2 linked regions of the Oreochromis niloticus genome follow. The protein of the gene in region 1 interacts with the protein of each later gene in a pairwise test. Links are inferred from orthologs where the notes say so. Each region holds a gene or a part of one and is shown in the gene's direction. Other genes may lie near its edges. The genes, in order: morn3 and rsph1.

Region 1 (9,723 bases):
GGGTAATGAAGGAAATGAGTTTGCCGACTAGAGAAAAGTCAACCGAGAGCGTGAGCGAAGGTTACCGAAAAGAAAACCGATGATGGTTCCAATGCCGGAGAGACTGTCGAACGGAAGGGCCACAGAAGTTCCGTAGTGTGAAGGTATTTCGGCTATTTCAAGTCTGACAAAAAACAGAGTAGCGCGCACTGTAAATTGTGCTGAAAGCAAGTCTGGAAATACAATAAAGCGGTGCATGCTCAATCTCTGACTGAAAACGCTAATTCGTCATTCGGCTTTTGTCAGACTAAAGTAACTGTTAAAACTGTTTGAAAAGCTAAGCTATACAACAAGGAGAGATTGAGAATTTCCTTTTAGTTCTCAGTTTATTTGATATTGACAAAAGTTAGTCAATTTTGTCTGTTCTTCTGTAAAACAAACTAAGATTTATTTTTAGAATTAATATTTTGTTTCTAAGTGGAATTGACAATTTAGTAGTTTGTTTTGTTTGTTCTATTTTGAAACTTAAATGCTTTAGCGGCTGCGTTTTGTGTAGTTTGCAATATTTGCCTTTATTTATCTAAAACTGAAGTCTTATGTTCCTTAAGTACATCTGCCCTGTTGAACTTATTATGGGAAATAAATATTTAAATCAAAACAAGCTGCAGATTATTTCACATTTTACTTTTGAGCAACGGCACATTTAAATCTTACAAATATAGTTATTTGGCTTATATCGTGATATATATCGTTATCGCCTGAAATGAAAAAACATATCGTGATATGAAAAAAATCTTATATCGCCCAGCTCTATGTGAAATGGATTATTTGTTATTAGGTTCCTTATAACAAACAGCAAAGGCTTTCATGCTTAAAACCCCTTTTTTAAACTGAGGTTTAAGTCAACCCTAAGTACTTTTAGTACTGTATTTCATCTATACTTTTCAGTGGTGTGCCTGGATTGCTCTGTCGTCATAATGTAACTGAGCTGTTTAGGTTGGACTTTGAGCTATTAAATCTTGAACTGTTGCTTTAATGAAGCGTTGGCAGGAGAGTCGGAAAAACAGAAGAATACCTGCTGAAGTTCTGAGCAGCAGAATCAGGAAAGATGAGAGGTTTAAGAGCCTTTGACTATGGCATGGTTGTTTCTGCCAGACGAGCTTGTCTGAGTATTTCATAAACTACTCAGCTGCTGTGATTTCCCCCACATGACCATCTCTAGGGTTTACAGAAGATGGTCCAAAAACGAGACAGCACCCCATGTGAAAGCTCAAATAACCTCAAACTGGTTTCTTGAACATCACTATGAGTTCACTCTACTCAGATTACCTCCAAAGTCATCAGATCTCAGTCTAATAGAGGACCTTTGTGATTTATTGGAACTGAAGTTTTGCATTATGTATGTGAAGCTGACAAATCTGCAACAACTGTCAATACGGACCAAATGTTTCGAGGACCTTATTGAACCATAGATGCCATGAAGAATTCTGCCCTGAACGCAAAAGGGTTCCCAACCTGGTACTAACATCTGTATCTAATAAAGTGGCCAGTGAGTGTACGTAAATAAGCCAATTTGGATACATCTTACTTTGATAGATGGAGAAGGCAAGAAACTGGCTCCTGAACATCTGATACATTGGTCCTTCTGGCCTGAGGAAAGAAAAGAACTCATTCACATTTCCCAAAATAAAAACAACATGATGCTGAATCAACAAAGACAATATCTCACCATGTCAGCATAACACCTGACAAGAAGGTGGAGACATAATGGTGAGACACCCACCACCCTTTGATCCTGAAAAGAAAAAAGGAGGAACTTGAAAATTTTCCCAACTAAAAATCTTCCGTAGACAAAGGCTTTAATTTAAAAATAGCCCACTAAAGGATAAATCCTCTGATAGTAGCAACACACCTGGAGCCGTTGTTTATGAGGATGCTTTCCCTTATGGTCAATGTGCAGTAGTACCACACCAACAAAAAGTTGAAGATTTCATCAGTGACCCTAAACAAGGCAGAAAACATCAAATAAGAAGCCAATCCTTAATAAGATAACACCATCAGTCATGCTTCGAGGGGAGGGAGGTTCTCTCACCGACAGTTTAGAAAGAAGAGGCAGGTTATTGCTCCGAACATCAGGATTATTGTCATGCAAAGCTTGAACTTCTCATACTCGTCTTTGTAGGCAAATCTGTGCGCATAAACGGAACAAAGAGATGATAAGAGACTGACATAAAAACCAATCTGAACCCACAGCCTGAACCTGCTTTTGAGGCTAAAAGGTGATACATACTTTGCCTGGTTGCTGAGAAGTGTTACATTCACGTTGCCCAGGACCAAATTCAAGTATAGTCTTAAAACGGAAAAAAAATGCAAGTTAACGAAATAAAGCTTAGTGATTACAGCAGATCTCTCACTGACAACAAATAGTTCTCACCCATTTTTCTTTGGCAAATATGCTTCCATGTCAAAGAAAACATTTTCTTTATCTTTTATTTGCGTTTTGATGTCAGTTATTAGTTTCAGCTCTTTCTCATCACACGTCTGTGCACACCTGTAACGAAAGCAGAAGGGCAAAATGAGAAAAGACGAAGGATATTTTTCATCCTCCATGATATCACTGAAATCGAAACCAGATAATTTAAGTGCTTATTTTAGTTGTGGGAATCCATCGACTACTTGCTTGACTACTTTAATAGCAGGTGTACTTACTTGGTTAAACTGTGCCTCAAGTCTTTCAGACATTTCCTCTGTTTACTGATGGCGTTGCTGCAAGTTGCTTGAAGACTGGTGAGCTCTTCCAGTTTTTGTCGGTATATTTTGTGAGTTTCCTGTGAATAAATTAAATACATGTCTGGTTAGAAACATCTGCTGACACGCAGAAATGAGGATTAAGCACAACCAGCTAGGACTTAAAGATGAATACAGCCACAAATTAATCACTCAGGTTTACTTGCATTCGTAGCTACACTGTCATCACTTTGTCCCCATCAAAAAGGATGAAGCATCTGATATATATATATACACACACACACGTTTAAATTACAGCTACTGTGTCTGTCTTTTACCTGAAAGCTTCAAAAACAATTCTAAATTAGGAGTAAATTACATCATTGGGAAACACGAACTACAGTTCAAACAATTAGTAGACTCCCAAAATGTAAAGAAAAATGTCCTGGACTAAACACTGAAAACTGATGACACATCCATATATATTCATGCTTCTAAGTTCTTTTATCATTAATTACGTACCCATTTTTATTCATCCTATGTATTTACTCATTCTGTTCATTTATTGTCATTTTAATCCTGAGAAAGTACAATGAAAGTTTGCCTATGTATAATGACAATAAAAGTTCATTCATCCATTCATGCTGAGAGAGACTCACTATCCTCTGAATCTTTGACCCTTTAATACGCTGTTCTTCAGTGAAACAGTCCCCGTAAGCAGATCCTATTGTTATATATGTAAACCACATGCGAGTTTGCTAATCAGGGGTCAGATTCCTATCCCCCTTAGAGCCAGTTGAACTCCCTTTGTTGTACCTCCATACCTCACAGGTTCAGATCTAATCACCCAAAGGTTATCTTCCTCAAGGCTGAGCTTATACCTTTTGTCTTTGTTCATCACCTACACGTGAACCAGTGGTTCTGAATCGGCACACCTTTCCTGTCCCACTCTTTTACTCATTAAGCACACCATCATAGGAAACCACAAAAAGCAGGACTGATCTCTTCAAGAGAACATAGTAATTGGTTTAATACTTGTCCTCATGGTGAAATATTTCAAAGTTAGCTACATCACAAAAAGTAGGGAGATCTTCCCAGTATTTAACAGGAAAAAGAAAGCAATCTACATGCAGCCGTCATTCATTGTGTTTCTGCAATCTTTGTTTTATCACATGACCATTTTCTGACATCAGTTATGATGAGGTGCACATGACCTGTTAAAAGGATGGGTTATACCAGTCAGCCAGTACTGAGCACATGATCTAAGTATGCGTTCATTCAAACTGACATGAAAACAATGTAACATCTGTTTTAAATCCCTCTATGGGTCTGGCACCAGTCTCTCTCTCAGAGATCATATAATCATCATATACAGATAAACAGATAACTCAGATGCTATGCAGCTGGCCTTCTGTTCCCAAGATCAATACACACAGGAGGAATCAGCTTTTAGCCATCGTGGCCCCAGTGTGTGGAGGTGAATAACTCCATCTCAGTGGACACTTAAAAAAACAAAACAAAAAACAAACCTTGACTTATGTTTTGTAATTGAAGTGGGCTCAATATTTCGGTACGTCTTAACCATTTACAACATTTTTCTTTTAGAGTTTCAAAATTTGTCACATTTGTTTAAAGTTGTGTTTTAAAATTCTCTAAAGAACTGCAGCTGTTTGAAAGAGGTAAATAAAGCTGAAATATAACAGCTATAATATAAACGGGAAGCGGTTTCTGCTCAGCTTCAGATCCACGTGTGCATAAACTGTGAGGTGTCACAGAAACAGAGATTTTAGGTGAATAATACAGTTTCTTATCTTCATTTTGTTCCAAGTTAGCCAACTATGGCTAACGTGAGCTAGCGTGTCAACTTCACGATGGCTGCTGATGCCCTTAAGGACTCCTAAATAAATCACCCAAGCCAAAAGACCCAGAAGCTACTTTGTGAAGCCACTTTAACCTCTGCCTCAACTTCGGTAGCAGTGATTTAACATTAATAAATAGGACAACAATGCATTGTGCGGTTAGCTAACTTACTGTAGCAGCTTATTCGCAGCAAAGCACCCTAGCCCCAAGAAGACTGTTGCTAATGTTAGCGGTTGCAACACAGCGATGTTACAGTAAAGTAAGATAAAATATAAACGCACGGCAAATATATTGCATCCCTCGGATACTGCTGCCAACAGCGCACTTATTGGCTAGATGCTGGGTTTACGGATGACCTGAGAATGAATGACGAATAGGAAAGAGACAGACAAACTGCTACAGCCCCTGCATGTCTCGACGCCACACTACTCCTCCTCCTAACCTAGCACAAATGATACTATACTCGTTAAAGAGTTTTCAGTCACCTGTAATTGTTGATATTCCTCATCAATTTCCTCCCACTCCGCCTGAAACCTCGGCTTGGACATTGCAGTGTTGTAGCTTATTCAGCGAAGAAGACTCTTCCACAAGGCTTTTCACCCACGGGCTGCTCCTGCTCCGGCCACTCAGGCGAGTTTTAACTGTCCTGTGTAGAGCATGCGCACTTCGTAAACCGCCGTCACAACCAAACGTCGTGGTTTACAACGGATGAAGCCATCAAGTAGTAAATAAAAGAAACTAACGGCAGATTAAAAAAAAAAAAGACTTGTGGATCAAAAATGACATCCAGACACGTTCAACTCAAATTTTTAAATGGCCTCTCAATTACATTTATAAGGCACCAATAACTGTACACATTGCTGTTGCTAGGATACAGCATACAAACTTGCTCTCCTGCTGCTGCTGGTCAGCATTGAAGTTGTGTACGGCTAGTAACATGTTTTCTTAATTTCCTCGTTAAATTGATGGCTTTTGTTTGGCTAAGTTTGCAAGCGGATTCAGTTTCAGTAAGTGATCCGCTTGGAAACACCGCAAAGGTACAATTACTTTGCTTTTTTGCTTTTCTACTTTTCTATTTTACCTGTAATGCTAACTAAGCTGGAGAGCTTAACTAGTTTCCTTAGATGACCGTGTGGCTACTTTTCTAAATAATAAATTACAGTGTTGTGAGTGACAGTTTAAAATACTGTCAACTCTTCAAAGAAGGGCAGTGTTTTTTCTGTTGTATGAATTTGGTGACATGTACTGCTTAATGGGTATGGCAGCTTGTTTGTGCCACTAACAAAACATTTTTTAGCCATCTATCAAGTCAAAAAAAATAAAATATCAATTTACTAACTTAAACATGAGAAAATAATTTTAAATTTTGAGTCACTAAGTCGGGATTTTGAGATAATAACTTTAAATTTTGACTTATGGATGGCAAAAAACTACAAATAAAAAAAATATTTGTTTCCATTTTCAGTGGCAGAAGGACAGCAAACATGTTTTGTTTTTCCACCCATTCATCCATCCATTCGCTTCCGCTTATCCTTTTCAGGGTCGCGGGGGGTGCTGGAGCCTATCCCAGCTGTCATAGGGCGGGAGGCGGGGTACACCCTGGACAGGTCGCCAGTCTGTCACAGGACCAGTGACAGACTGACCATGTTTTTTTTGTTGTTTTTTTTTATTTCATTCTAATGCTTACAGGTTTCATCAAGCTACCACCAGCAATGCCATTTCTCAAAAGACCTCCAACTACTCCCTCATTGTCAACACTGCTGGACATTAAGTCACAGAAATGTGGACTGCGGCACACAGTTTTCTCACCCAGTGGAAACGAATACACCGGGGAGTGGCAGAACAATAAGAAGCATGGTGAGATATAGTTTTTCGTCAGCTTCCACTCAACTCCTGAGAGGTTTGAAGTAGTGCAGCTGTCATGTTTGCTTGTTTGTTTATTTATTTCTATAAGGCAAGGGAACTCAGGTTTGGAAGAAGTCTGGTGCCATTTATGATGGAGAGTGGAAATTTGGAAAACGTGACGGGTATGGTACCTACAGCGTGTTACTCCCAGGATCAAAGAAGTATGTGAAGAAGTACTGTGGTGAATGGACAGATGGAAAGAAGGATGTATGTATGTGACATAATGTTTCACATGCACGCTGAAAGACATATCGGTATGTATGGTCAGTCATGTATTTGTCCACCTTCTCAGGGGTATGGCACATACTTTTACAATAACTCATCAGTGTACGAGGGGGAGTGGAGCGAGGACCAACGGAGTGGCTGGGGAAGGATGTACTATGCAAATGGAGACATCTATGAGGGCAAGTGGCTGAAGGATAAGAATCATGGAGAAGGAATCATTATATTTTGTAAGAGAAAATTTTCTATACATGCATGTACATCGAAACTAGATTATAATTTGGATGTTATAATATGACTTTCTAATTTCTGTTTAAGCAAATGGAAACAGATATGAAGGTAGCTGGCGAGAGGGCAAGAAGGATGGTCGTGGAAAGTTCTACTACTGTGACAAAGGCCAGCTGTATGAAGGCCTTTGGGTGGATGGAGTGCCAAAATGTGGGACCCTGTCTGATTTTGGGAGAGATGGAGCACCAATGCCTGCAAAATGTCAGATTCCAAAGGTACAGTGTTGCAACTGACTGTTACAGCCATGCATCAAAATTAAATTACACGACTAATTACATTACACTGCTTACATGACATAATCATATAAGCACTGACAACAAAGCCCTGCTCCATTTGTACTACTGTGCATGAAAGCGTGGACTTATCTTCTATTTTCAGGTACACCTGATCGATCCACAGCTGGTTTTAAGGGAAGCCGAATCAGCTTACCTTGGCCAGTTCTGATAAACAACAAGAGGATCAAGAGCAAGTTTCCACTTCACCACATGCTTGCTGATAAAGAATTTTAAAAAAGCATAATGAGTTTTCAGTGTGTGTCCCTTTTGTCACACAGATTATTTGTCCTTGTCAGAGGGGCAAAATCCTTTAATCATCCATTAATGTGACAAATTTATCTGTTGCCAATTAAACGTGTATAATAATTGATCATAAAGGGAAAAAAATGCCTCATCAGATTTTACATATATACCTCTTAAGATTGAAAACACTATGTTGGATGACTTAATACAAATTAAAAGAGATTGTCATATGATAAATTCAGTGTTACACATCCATCTGTTTGTCATATGGTGTCTGATCACACTTTAGCCTTGAGTGTGTAAACCCTTGAGAACTTGTAACTGACACACAAGCCACATTATTCAGTAGAAAGCAGTCATGCTTTGTTCTGTTTATAGTTTGTATAGTTGTCCTAAGAATAAAACACTATTCCTAACAACCAGTCTGTAAGAGGATGATCTTATGCTATGTTTACCACATCTAAACCTTGAATAATAGTACTGCCTCTCAAAGAAATACAAAAAGATAAAATTTCACATTATTCTATATTCTTTTTTCTTAATTTTGGTGATTATGGAATATAGATGAAAATCAAGAATCCCGTATCTAAAATTATTAGAATATTTAATTTTGAGTTTGAGTAAATTAATATTTAAACAGTATAAATACAGTGTATCTCACAGTTTAGTTCAATACCACCAACCACAATCATGTGGACGACTGCTGACTTGACAGTTGACTAGATGATGATGATCATCACTGCGCATGAACAGTGAGCCACAGGAAGTCATTGTTGAAAAGGCTGGCTGTTCTCGAGAGTGCTGCATCACAGGATTTAAAAAGTTGACTGCAAGTGTGGCAAGAAAAGGTGCAAAAGAGATAATCACGTGATTGAGAGGATTGTCAAAAACAGCTGACTCAGGAAGTGCTATCCAGGCACTCCTGAAGCAGAGGCATCGCAAACGTCATACCTGGGCTAAAGATGAAGAACGAAATTTGCTTAGCGGTCCAAAGTTCTCTTTTAAGACAAAACAAATGTTGCATTTTGTTTGAAAATCACAGTCTTAAAGGTTTGGAGGAAGAACTGTGAAGTGCAGGATCCATAGAGTCTGAAATCCAGTGTGAAGTTTGTGCAGTCTGTGGTGATTTGGGGTGCCGTGTTATCTGGTCTGTCCCCTGTGTTTTACATCAACTCCAAAATCAACACAGATGTCTGCCAGGGTTTTCCAGTGCTCTGCATGCTTCCATCTGCTGACAAGCTTTAAGGAGATGCCAATTTTCTTTTCCAGCAGGACTCAGACCCTTCCCACAGAGCTAAAGGTACTACTACAAGGTTTGCTGACTCTGCCGTTACTGTGTATGAGTGGTCAGCCAACTCAGGAGACTGGATTTAAGGTTTTCATAAGCTACAAGCCATACTCATCAAAATGAAAACAAAAAATACTTAAAATGTCACCATAAGTGTAATATGTTTTCCCCTTTAGAAATAAAACACCCCCAACTTTTTCATTATACTTTGATTTTATTTCCCTAGCAACTGCATTATGGCCATCTATCAATGTCCCAGCTGCTTAAGTAAACACATCTCTGACCACATCTGGAGTACAGGCTCACACAGATTCTTAATTCAAAATAATCACTTTTTATGTTAAAAACACAATTGAACAGCTATCGGTACATACTTCAAAACTGAATCACAAGAGCAAAATGCCAGTTCAGAATATGTGAGACAAGTGGAGTGCTCAGACTCTTCAAAATAAAGCACTAATAACTAATATTAACATTAAGTGTGCAGCAGAGATCCAAATGAGATTATAAAACTGTGTTAGTGTGCATAAAAATGTCAGCAGTGTGTGACAACACAAATGTCTGGCTTGCTCTGACATTAGAGGCTCTTTATCCTGCCAGCTCCATAGTGCAAAGTCTGTGTAATATAAGGGCAGAACATCTATCTATCACAGCGGGCATCATGTACCTTGCCTCCTAACAAGGCCGCATCCTCACGAAGCCCAAACCAGACTCTCCACACGCAGTCACATTTTTTTTTTGCTATGATTGTTAACTTTGAACACCACTTTGTGAAAAGGTGTTTATTTGAACACCACAGCCTGTGCAACACATGAGAACAAAACATACTTAAGTTGTACTGTAAGTTTGGCAGCTGACTAGTCGACACAAAGGGAGAGCATTCCGAATGCAAATTGTGAACACTTAAAAAAAACAAAAACAAGAAAACTATGTAAA
Region 2 (10,360 bases), on another chromosome or scaffold:
TTATGTTTCCATTTATTTATTTTTTAAATTTATGCTTAACATTTGATTTTACTTCCCCTCGTGACACATTGTCTTTGATTATCTTCACTTGCTTCTTGTTACTTTGCTGTGTCCTATGTATAGATAAGGTTGTCCTTCCCTCATTCTTTGTCCAAGTTTCTGAAGCCTGTTGTCTGTTTCTGAAGTTTTGTGAATTTTGGTTTCCTCAACTTGTAATGGATGGTGCAATTCTGGACTCTGAGATCAGCCCGAATGAAGTTTGCTTTTTGCTTAAGTCTGTCTGCCAGTGAACTTGCATTTGGCCTGCAAATAATGAAAATTTATGTTTAGTTTCATTTATAACACTTCTTGAAAAATAGAATAGGCTCACTTGTCCAGGAAGATACTCAAGGATAGATCTAGGTATACACTTCCCTAGACTTTTTCTATAACCTCAAAGAGGAAAAAAAAGACAAAAAGAAAAGAAAAAGTAGCTACTGTCAGACCAAATAAACCCTCAGCTGACTGCACCTCTGCTGTTGGTCTGCATGCTTCAGTTGAGCAGCAGCTTGTCAGGCATTGTCTGGGAATGACCACAATATCTAAATAGTGCAGTACTCACATAGATCATCCAAGCTGCGTAACGCTCTTTGAGGTTATACAGCACAGCCGCCTCATTAAGGTGTGTCATCATGGCCATGTCCTCAATCTTATCAAACTTGGGTGGGTTCATAGGGAAGATTTCATCTTCCTTCACTGTTACAACCTGTGATGGTAAGAAAAGACACTGTCATTAAGAATATATGAAGTTAGTGCCTGCTCTCTATATTACTTCTGTAATGTAAAGTACATTAAAAAGCTCATCAGTGGACAAACTAAATAAAATGTGCCAACGTGGCCTATAAATCTCCAGTATAGAGATACATAGAGCAGATGTACCTGTCCTGACAGAGTTTTAACAGTCGCTTTGCCACCCTCTTTGCTTTGCAATGTGCCTTTAACAAAGAGCTCCTTTGGATCTGCCACAAACACTGCAGTTTTGGCATCAAAGGGCTTGTTCTGAGCTTCAATCCTCTCTCGTTCAGGTCTCCTCAGATATGGAGCGGCCTCCCCAAAAACAGCCATGTCAGCGTCTGAACTCATCTCTGCAGTGTACACCCCAGGGGACTAAAAGATCCAGGGTTAATGTTAGAATGATGATCTATTAATGAATTTGATCATCATCCTGATCAAATCTTACCCCAGAAAATCTGCGTATGGCTCCTCCTAGACACACCTGAATCAGAGCTCCTGCTGGTTAAGTCAGTAGCCGTCACAGCCAGAAGACAATGAAACAGAAAAACGTCCAAAGAGTTGGCAGTTACTGCTTTTATAACATGCATTAGCATAGACAGCAAACAACTATATTTAGGTCAAATCCCCCATTGAACATGGGTGGAGAAAAGTGATTAGCTTGGCATGTGATGTCATGCAGTTGGTGCTGAGCTTTTGTTATAAATCCGCGCTGTGGAGCAACTGCAGCTCAAGAAAAGAATGAATGCCAAAGGAGGGTGACCTCTGCCAGAGATACAGCTCACACAGATGATAAACTTTCCAAGTGTTTGTTATCTTGGGCATTGATCTCCAAGATTATAACTGGATTTGACATTAAGGATGTGTCTAGACTTAAAAGCAGCTCTTGAACAATTTAAGCTCAAAGAATGCATTTGGAAGCCAGTAATAGTTGATGGTACACAAAGTTATTAAACGCAAAGCAGTCACTGCTCAAGTCAAATCTCATTACTGAAAATTATGAGAATTTTGATTTTATTTTACAACTGGAATGTGTGTGTGTGTGCAATACACTACAAAATACAGACTAAACCCCAACAATCAAATGAGCCCTTTTAAGCAAGCACTTGGTGACAGTAGGAAAGAAAAACTCCCTTTTAACAGGAAGAAACCTCCAGCAGAACCAGGCTCAAGCAGCAATCTGCAAGTACAAGCATCACCTGATACTTACTACTACTCTTAATTCTTCCTAATTCATATGGAAGCAGTGAGGGTTACTTTTTTATTAAACAAATAATGATTGATGATGTATTTGTATAAGGATCTAATATTAAGACATGTTAAGAACCAAATGATTTTTATTATGTCCTTATGAGTAAAACTTTAGAAAAGAGGGTGTAGATTTTTGTTTAGTTTACTTTTTGTTTTTTTATCCAATTCAAGACATTAAGAGTAAAATATTGTAAGCTAACTTTTTACTTATGTGAAATTTAGAAATGGATTTGGCACTGCTCATTAGAACGCATAGCTGACTGAAAAATTTTCTACGGTTTCTATTGTGTGTGTGTTTGTGTGTGTATTAATTTTCCAGTTTCAGATGAACATGAGTGTGGTATCACAATTTTTTTCACAAATAAAGTCATGAAACAATAATATTAAAAAAAGTGTAAAACTGTGTTTTATTTTATGTCTTGATTTTGTTACATTTTTACATATTTCAAAAATTCATATGGTGAATACACTTCGTATGTCATGGCAAGGATTTCTGTCTTCAGAACAATGTAACAAAATGTATTTTTCACTACCCTGTCTCCAAAGCTTATTGTTTTGAAATGTACCATTAATGGTGCGCGGTGACACTTCTGATAGTCATGACAGGCTTATAAATAAAGTCATAGCTGATAAAGCCCTAAATAGAAATTCCTGCAGGATCCTTCTGGGATGGCTTTAGAGATTACAGTGGACTAACGGTCACATTAGAGATTCTGAGGCTTCTTTTTTTCCTGTCCCAAAGAATCATGTCTGAGAGACACTTGAAGACAGATGCAACAGAAACAAAGAAAACCCCAATGTCACTTTAGTGCAGAAAGAGGTTGCCTTAGCTTTAAATTTATTTATTTTTTAACCTTGATAGTACATTAAAAAATGCAAAAAAGTTTTGAAAGACATTTTATTGACTATTAAGAAACCTCATGAAAAATATGTCCATTCTGGCTGAGATCAGAGGGTATACAGTGGAGGATTTAATTCTTCGATCTCGTGCTAAATTTGTGCTTTTGCTCACTTACAAAGAAATGAGTAGTCTCTCATTTTTATGGTAGTTTCATTTTAATGGAGAGAGACAGGATAGCAAGCACAACTGAGAAGAAACACATAGAAGAACTACAAGTTCTTTGGCATAAACTTGACCTGCTGTGTTTGGGGGAAGAGAAATGCTGAGTATGACCTAAAGAACACCATCCCCACGGTCAAGCATGGAGGTGGAAACTTCCTTTGAGTCTATTTTCTGATAAAGATACAGGATTAATATACAGGGACATTTACCACAAAAGTGGATGAGAACTGCCTTCCCTCAGCCAGAACACTGCAGAGGGGTCTTCCAGCATGATGATAACCCAAAACCTATGGTCAAGACTACTAAAAAGAAAAGGTCATGAGTGACCTTACCAGTCTCCAGGCCTCAATCTTATAGAGAATCTATGGAAGGAGCTCCCAAGCGCCAACCAGAAAAACTAAAAGATTAAGAGTTTCTGTAAAGAAAGTGTCCCAAAGCCCCTCCTGAGATGTGCACCAACCTAGTGACAAACTCCCGCTGTGCTTGCCAACAAGGATTTCTCCACAAGTCATGTTTTGCTTGGGCATGCAAATCAATGTATAACTTTTATTTTAACTAGGTTGTGCTGAGCAACTTTAGCTACATCAGATACGTCAACATTTTAACATAACTGGTATAATGTTTCTGTATGCAGGCAGATGGTGCCAGGTGTTTAATCATGCCAAGGAAACGGGTCATAATAGGCTGTTAAACTGTCACTTATTTTAAAAACCAGTAACAGCGTCATGAGAGGGAGATTAGATGGATATAAATTGACAAGTGAGGCGCTAAATCTCGAACAAGCAGCCGGTGAACCCAGGTATTAGCTGCCCCTTTCTTAAATATGGATTGTTTCAGGAATTAATCAGGAGTGAGATATTCTTAGGAACTGTCCTCAAAGGGACAACGATGCCAGAGATTATCACCATGGCCACAAACTGCCTTTCATTTGGCTTTATTATAACTTGCATGTACGTTATTGAATACCTGCTTCAGAAATGTTAAACAGCACCTTATCTTGAGTCACAGAAGGAACAGCTGAACGCAGCAGATTACAACCAGAGTTCATTCTAATCTTTAATGCAACAGATGGCAAAATCTCAGGGCTTATGAGTTAATGTCAAAACAAGTTCAAGTTGTCTAAATAAAGAGCTGCAAAGGAGAGGTCACTCAGTTTATTATGTTGGTGTCATTTGATGGACACACTGAACTAGAATTAATTACCAAGATGTCAAGAAAAATGTTTTTCATAAATTGAATCGTTTATTGAAACGCTGTGGATTTTTTTTTCATTGTGTGTTCATAAAAAAGCCAGTTGGAGCTTTGAAGCAGATTTTAAAAGAGCAAAACTGAACTAAGTCTGACATGTTTTATTAAAATAAGTCAGCATAACTACTGCGCTGTGTGATTTAACTGAAGCAGCGTTATAATGAATGTTATTTTACTTGTCAGTGATAGTTAAACCACAGCACCTGCCAATGTCACAGGTTCTTTTTTTTTCTCTTAAAGACACCAGATTGATGCCCATCATGTGAAGTTAAATGTTTTAGTGAAGTAATCTACTTCAAACCTAAGCAGATTTAGAGGGAAAATAATTTTTTTAAATTTTGGTACATTTGGATTCATTAATTGCATACTTTCATCAGTGATGAATAGATTGATCTTGATGGCTCTAAGTGTTACAGAAGTGTTACTGTAAGTGTTACTGTATTATAGACAGGTTTGTGGTACTTGCAGAAGGGGGTGTAAAAATTGTTTGGGAGCAGACAGCTTGTAGTTTCTTTCAAGTTTTCTCACCTGTAATAATGATGACAACTGTAATGAACAGCCTGAAGCTGAGGCCTTAAGACCACTTTTTACATAATATTACTAATATCAGTTATTACTAGTATTTCATAGTATTATTTTCTTACAATACATTGTTATATTATTATTATTATTTTTTATTATTACTATTTATGTAACAGATGTCGTATTGTTGTACCTCTCTTCTGACCTCCTGTGTCCATGTTGATGACAATGTGGAAAAAACCATGTAATTACATTTGGATTTATCATTCCAGAGGACTTGATGTCACTGGATTTTGGTCCAGTTCTTGTGTAATATGGAATACCTCATACCCTTCCACTGAGATTATTGTTAACGAGCTTTCAGTGCAGTAGCTCTCACATGCTGTGTCAAGCCCTTTTTCCTGTCACTTTACAACAAGACTGTCAGACACTGTTGATGTTCTGTATTTTTTTTTTCAGCTTGGAAAAAAGCCGGGCGCCCTCTTGTGGCTGCGGCCGTCCAGTACACACATAAACATCAACACTGCGCAAGAGTCTTCTCAGGCAAGAGCGCGTCTGGGTCTTTAGCTCGCGTGACCGACGGTTGTCATAGCAACTATAAACTAGTAGGCTAAAAGAGGTGCAGGATTTTCCCAGTTTTGGGCGCTTCTGTTTAAACTAAAACTACAACACAGTTGATCAGAAACTAACAGAAACATGTCTGACGTAGGATCTGATGAGTTCGAGGATGAACAAAATAAACTCGGGGTGAGAGAATATAATTATCGTGTTAAGTGTGTTTGCTGACGACGTTGAACTAAAGCTCTTTGTAAAAACCTCTTTTGTTTTTACCCGAGCAGGAGTATGAAGGAGGCAGAAACGAAGCTGGAGAAAGGCACGGATTCGGGAAAGCTATTCTGCCCAACGGAGACATTTATCAGGGAGACTATCAGAACGGGAGAAGACACGGACAGGTAGGACGTTTGAGCTGGAACCCTGCAGTCCAAAGCTAAGAACATTCTGCATGTATGTGTATATCAGTGCATAAAGACATTATCTTTTAGATATAGAAAAAGCTGCTAAATTAGATAACAGTGTGGACAGTGCGTGAGAACACGCCGAGCAGTTTCAAGCAGTTTTCTCTTACTGCTAATTACAATTTTATTTAAATATTTAGTCCCAAAGCATATTCTTCTTAATATTTAAGGCTTTTCGCTGATGCTACCCGGGTAAGGACTAATATATATTTATATATAACCGCTTTCTCCATAAGGGGACATATCGCTTCAAGAATGGGGCGAGATATGTAGGGAACTACCAGCAGAACATGAAACATGGACAGGGAACCTTCTACTATCCCGATGGGTCCAAATATGAAGGTATAGCAAATCTGCTTTACATGAGTGTCCTGTGTACTTCTACCAGTCAAAATTATTTTTTATGCAGTCCTGAGATAGTTTTTAAAGCCAGCTGAAGCTCTGATGTTGGTTTCAGTAAGCTAAACTCTTACCACTGCCTCTTCTGACTGCCAGGGTCGTGGGTTGAGGATATGAGACAAGGTCATGGTGTTTACACCTACCCCAACAAAGACACCTATGATGGAGAGTGGCTGCAAAATTTGAGGTATGTCACAAGAACTGCAATCTCAATTGCTATAACAACTTGTAATGGCAGAAGGAGTCAGGGTTTATATTAAGGCTGGCTTTATATTACAGCTTTTTATGTTTAAATAATTTACTTTGATTCAACAGTATTAATACTCTAGAGAGCAGGACTTTTTTTCATGTTGAAATGCAGTCCCAGAAATGCTGTAAGCATGCCACGTCTTTAACTTCTCAGATGTTTGAACTTTTTTGAACCAGCACCGACATGCTTTTACTTTGAAGTTAGTTGTAACTAGATACGTTAAAAGCTACTTGAGTCTTTGCTGTTGTGTGATTTCCAGGCACGGACAGGGCATTTATCACTACCACGAAACCGGCTCTAAGTTCAAGGGCACTTGGGTGAACGGCAAGATGGAGTCAGCTGGAGAGTACCTCCATACTAACCACAGATTCATGGGCAACTTTATCAACAACTATGTAAGTTTTATTTTTATAACATTTTCATAAATTGGTCAATGATCAATCAAAATACTGAATATGTTTTAATGTAGCCTGTGCATGGTGTGAAAAGTGGCAATGGCCAAGATGATTATCATGATTATTGTGAACACTGTTAAGTTATGTGTGTGTTATTTGTCATCACTATTCATTGATTTTGGTGACAGAAATTTCTTTTATGACACCGCCCTCCTTATTCCCCTAAATTCAGTGCATCATTCATTCTATTTATTGCACCTGTGTGTATATTTATGTGAGGGGACAACATCATTTGTGCAGTAAGTTAACCATTTTCCTGGAGGCTTCATTAGTCACCGTGCTTAGTGGGGATTTCAGTGAGTCTTTTCCAAGCTGGAACACTTTAATGGACTTTCCTTTTTTATTGTACTCCTATTTAGCAGAATTGGATTAATATAAAACATAAACTACTACATAATGGTGTGCTGTAGCTACAGTGAATTATCTCCAGCTATCTGCATGATTTAACAGTTCTATAGAGTTTGAAGTATGTTTTAATGCAGAACATTTGTACTTTTACTTCAGTGAAAGTCTAATTTTACAGGAAGTATGTATACTGTAGCATTACTACTTTGATATAAGTAGAGGCTTTAGGATAGGTGCATCTTCCATAGAGCCATCAAGATCATGCCATTCATCACGTAATCAAAAGGTCAAAGGGTCATAAGAAGGACTTTTTAAGGAAGAACAAATGGTGTGGATAAGCCCATTTACTAGCCTTACTAGGCAGATTTCCATTTTAAAACAACTCATTTTTCTGTTTTTAACCACAAAGACAGTTACATTACTTGGCTCCATTCTTGCCTTATGTACACCGTGTTTTGTTTTGTGCCTCACTGTTCCAAAATGACATAGATCGGTGTGTTCAGTGTCAATCAACAAAAACAACAATCAGTTCTTATATCATTGGGATCTGTGTCATTGTAAATGAGGAAGACTGTACCTCTCTCCCTTATTATCTTCGGTTTTAATTTTGTAGCCGCTTGGGCCAGGGAAGTACGTGTTTGACATCGGCTGTGAGCAGCATGGAGAATACCAGAAAGCAGAGCAGGTAATTCCACATCCACACAATTCACTTGAACAGAAACACAGTGATGTTAAATATTTACCCCCTTCCTGAGCTAGTATTTTTTTCACACTTTCAGATCATCGAACCAGTATCAGACAAAGCTAGCCCATGTACTAACAAAATTTTTTTTTAATGATTTCATTTATTAAGGGGAAAAAAGTCATGGGATAGATCATTAAGGTCAGCTAATCACAGCTACTGGTTGTTCTGAGACGCAGACTAAAGCACAGAGGAGACCAGGCCGTTGCTGTAGTTGCACGTACACTTTTGAACAGTCTGCCTCTTCAAATCAAGACCTCACCAACACTTCTTTAAATTGTCTTTAAAACCTGCTTGAAGACACATATTTACGCGCTTGCATTTAAATGTGACTTAGTTTTTGATACTTTACTTTCACTTTGTCTTTTGTTTGTCTTGCTCTGAGTTATTATTTTTAGTGATACATAAATTTGGTCAGCCCTTATTGTTTTTAAATCTGCTTATAATCCAGTGGTTCCCAAAGTGTGGGGCCCGCCCCCTAGGGGGGGGGCGCAGAGCCATTGCAGGGGGGCGCGGGATGAAAAGAAAAAGAAAAAAAAGAAAGCTTGGACAATGCTAGCATAATGGACAGATTTTTGACGGGGCTCCCACACAAACGCAAAGTAGGAGATGAAGCATCGCCAAATATGTTTCCAAACCAACTTCCTTCCAAGCCAAAGACTAGAAAATATGGTGAAGCATATCTTCCCTTTGGCTTCACCTGCACAAGTGCCAAGGTAGGTCTCCCCTGCAAAATTAGTTTCCCTGCGTCGGGAGCAGCGCTGGGCTCTCCAAATCACGGACAAACAGGATCCCACATTCTTGATTTTTAGTTCACAAACACTTCTTGTAATAACTAACTACTCCTGACATTAAATGTCAGATTTGTGATTTGGAGAGCACAGCGCGTGCTTTGGACATGTTAGTAACATGTCCAAAATGTCAGGAGTAGTTAGTTATTACAAGAAGTGTTTGTGAACTAAAAATCAAGAATGTGGGATACTGTTTGTCCGTGATTTGGAGAGCCCAGCGCTGCTCCCGACGCAGGGAAACTAATTTTGCAGGGGAGACCTACCTTGGCACTTGTGCAGGTGAAGCCAAAGGGAAGATATGCTTCACCATATTTTCCTGTCTTTGGCTTGGAAGAAAGTTGGTTTGGAAACATATTTGGCGATGCTTCATCTCCTGCTTTGCGTTTGTGTGGGAGCCCCGTCAAAAACCTGTCCACAGTGTCCAAGCGCTCTTTTTTTTCTTTTCTTTTCATACCGCGCCCCCCCTGCAATGGCTCTGCGCCCCCCTAGGGGGCGGGCCCCACACTTTGGGAACCTCTGTCTTAGAGCATTTTCTATCTGTAGGATTCATCTTGTCCTCTCTCCAGTCTTTCCAGGACAGAGCTGAGGGTGAGTGGGATGGGCTGGCCTCTGCCACTGTTCTCAAGTGGATTCCCAAATGTGTCACAGGCCTAACAACAGGAATTCCTGGGAAAGAGACTTCAGGTGAAATTCAACAGTGATGTGCAAGCCGTGATTGTACAACTACAAAGTTGTAAAACTACTGTCTGATAGCAGAACCCCGTACAGAACGATCTTCTAGCAACCATAGAGATTTTGAATTTGAAAACATTGAAAATGTTCATTAAAAACTTTAAAAAATGTTCAGTAAAAGGATAACATTTAATAAGTAATTGTTTGTATATTTGTTTTAGGGCTGCACAATTAATCAAATTTTAATTTCGATAATGATTTTTGCATGGGCAAGCATGATTGATTGATATTTAAATGTATGCTTCACCAGTTAAAATGCAAAGCAAAAGCAAATCAGTTGCTTCCTAAATCAGTGCCGGACCACCCGCTTGTGCAAATCATAGTTTTTCCCTGCAGCTTTAAATTTCCTGGACTAATGTAGACGACTAACATTACCGGTATGTTAAAGAATTTAAAAATCACCAAAATTATGAGCACATTATGAGCCTGTGCCTCCAGGAGGATCACCTGGAACAGCCTCGTTGATTTTAATTTTGCATTAAGTTTCGGTATATATTTTTTTCTTGATGCAAATAAGGAAGACAAGTTTTATTTTGATGCAGATACAGATGTGAGCATGTGAAAGCAGTGCTATAAAATTAAATGAATAATTGGGACCAATAAAAATGAAGATGGCTTAACAAACCAAAGGGTGACATCATAAAGCATCAAGAACATAGGACCTTAGAATTGGAGGGGGTAATTTCATGTTTGTGACATTTCCGTTGTGATAAGCAGATCAAAACTAAACTAAGGGGGCAGCGGTGGGGGAAGGTGTATTGATCCTTTATGCTGT

What was found.
Region 2: the proteins of morn3 (region 1) and rsph1 interact in binary tests that used the Homo sapiens proteins (3 or more experiments, as listed by UniProt). The two-hybrid records come from large-scale screens. The link is inferred for Oreochromis niloticus from reciprocal best matches to the Homo sapiens genes MORN3 and RSPH1.

Annotation. Positions count from the first base shown.
Region 1 is NC_031972.2:22,384,094-22,393,816, forward strand, and holds morn3 (MORN repeat-containing protein 3), read left to right. Parts: upstream 1-5,114; 5' UTR 5,115-5,196; intron 5,197-5,338; exon of another isoform or gene 5,339-5,603; intron 5,604-6,255; 5' UTR 6,256-6,278; coding exon 6,279-6,423; intron 6,424-6,520; coding exon 6,521-6,678; intron 6,679-6,763; coding exon 6,764-6,923; intron 6,924-7,011; coding exon 7,012-7,196; intron 7,197-7,359; coding exon 7,360-7,425; 3' UTR 7,426-7,915; downstream 7,916-9,723. Other genes in the region: tmem120b (transmembrane protein 120B), read right to left, coding at 1,568-1,629, 1,709-1,774, 1,892-1,981, 2,072-2,167, 2,270-2,329, 2,414-2,530, 2,689-2,807, 5,052-5,114. UniProt on the Homo sapiens protein: Assembles a suppression complex (suppresome) by tethering SIRT1 and MDM2 to regulate composite modifications of p53/TP53.
Region 2 is NC_031973.2:26,131,833-26,142,192, forward strand, and holds the start of rsph1 (radial spoke head 1 homolog), read left to right. Parts: upstream 1-5,425; 5' UTR 5,426-5,551; coding exon 5,552-5,602; intron 5,603-5,694; coding exon 5,695-5,808; intron 5,809-6,107; coding exon 6,108-6,213; intron 6,214-6,366; coding exon 6,367-6,457; intron 6,458-6,779; coding exon 6,780-6,915; intron 6,916-7,933; coding exon 7,934-8,005; intron 8,006-9,419; coding exon 9,420-9,554; 3' UTR 9,555-10,360. Other genes in the region: myosin heavy chain, fast skeletal muscle, read right to left, coding at 602-745, 919-1,122.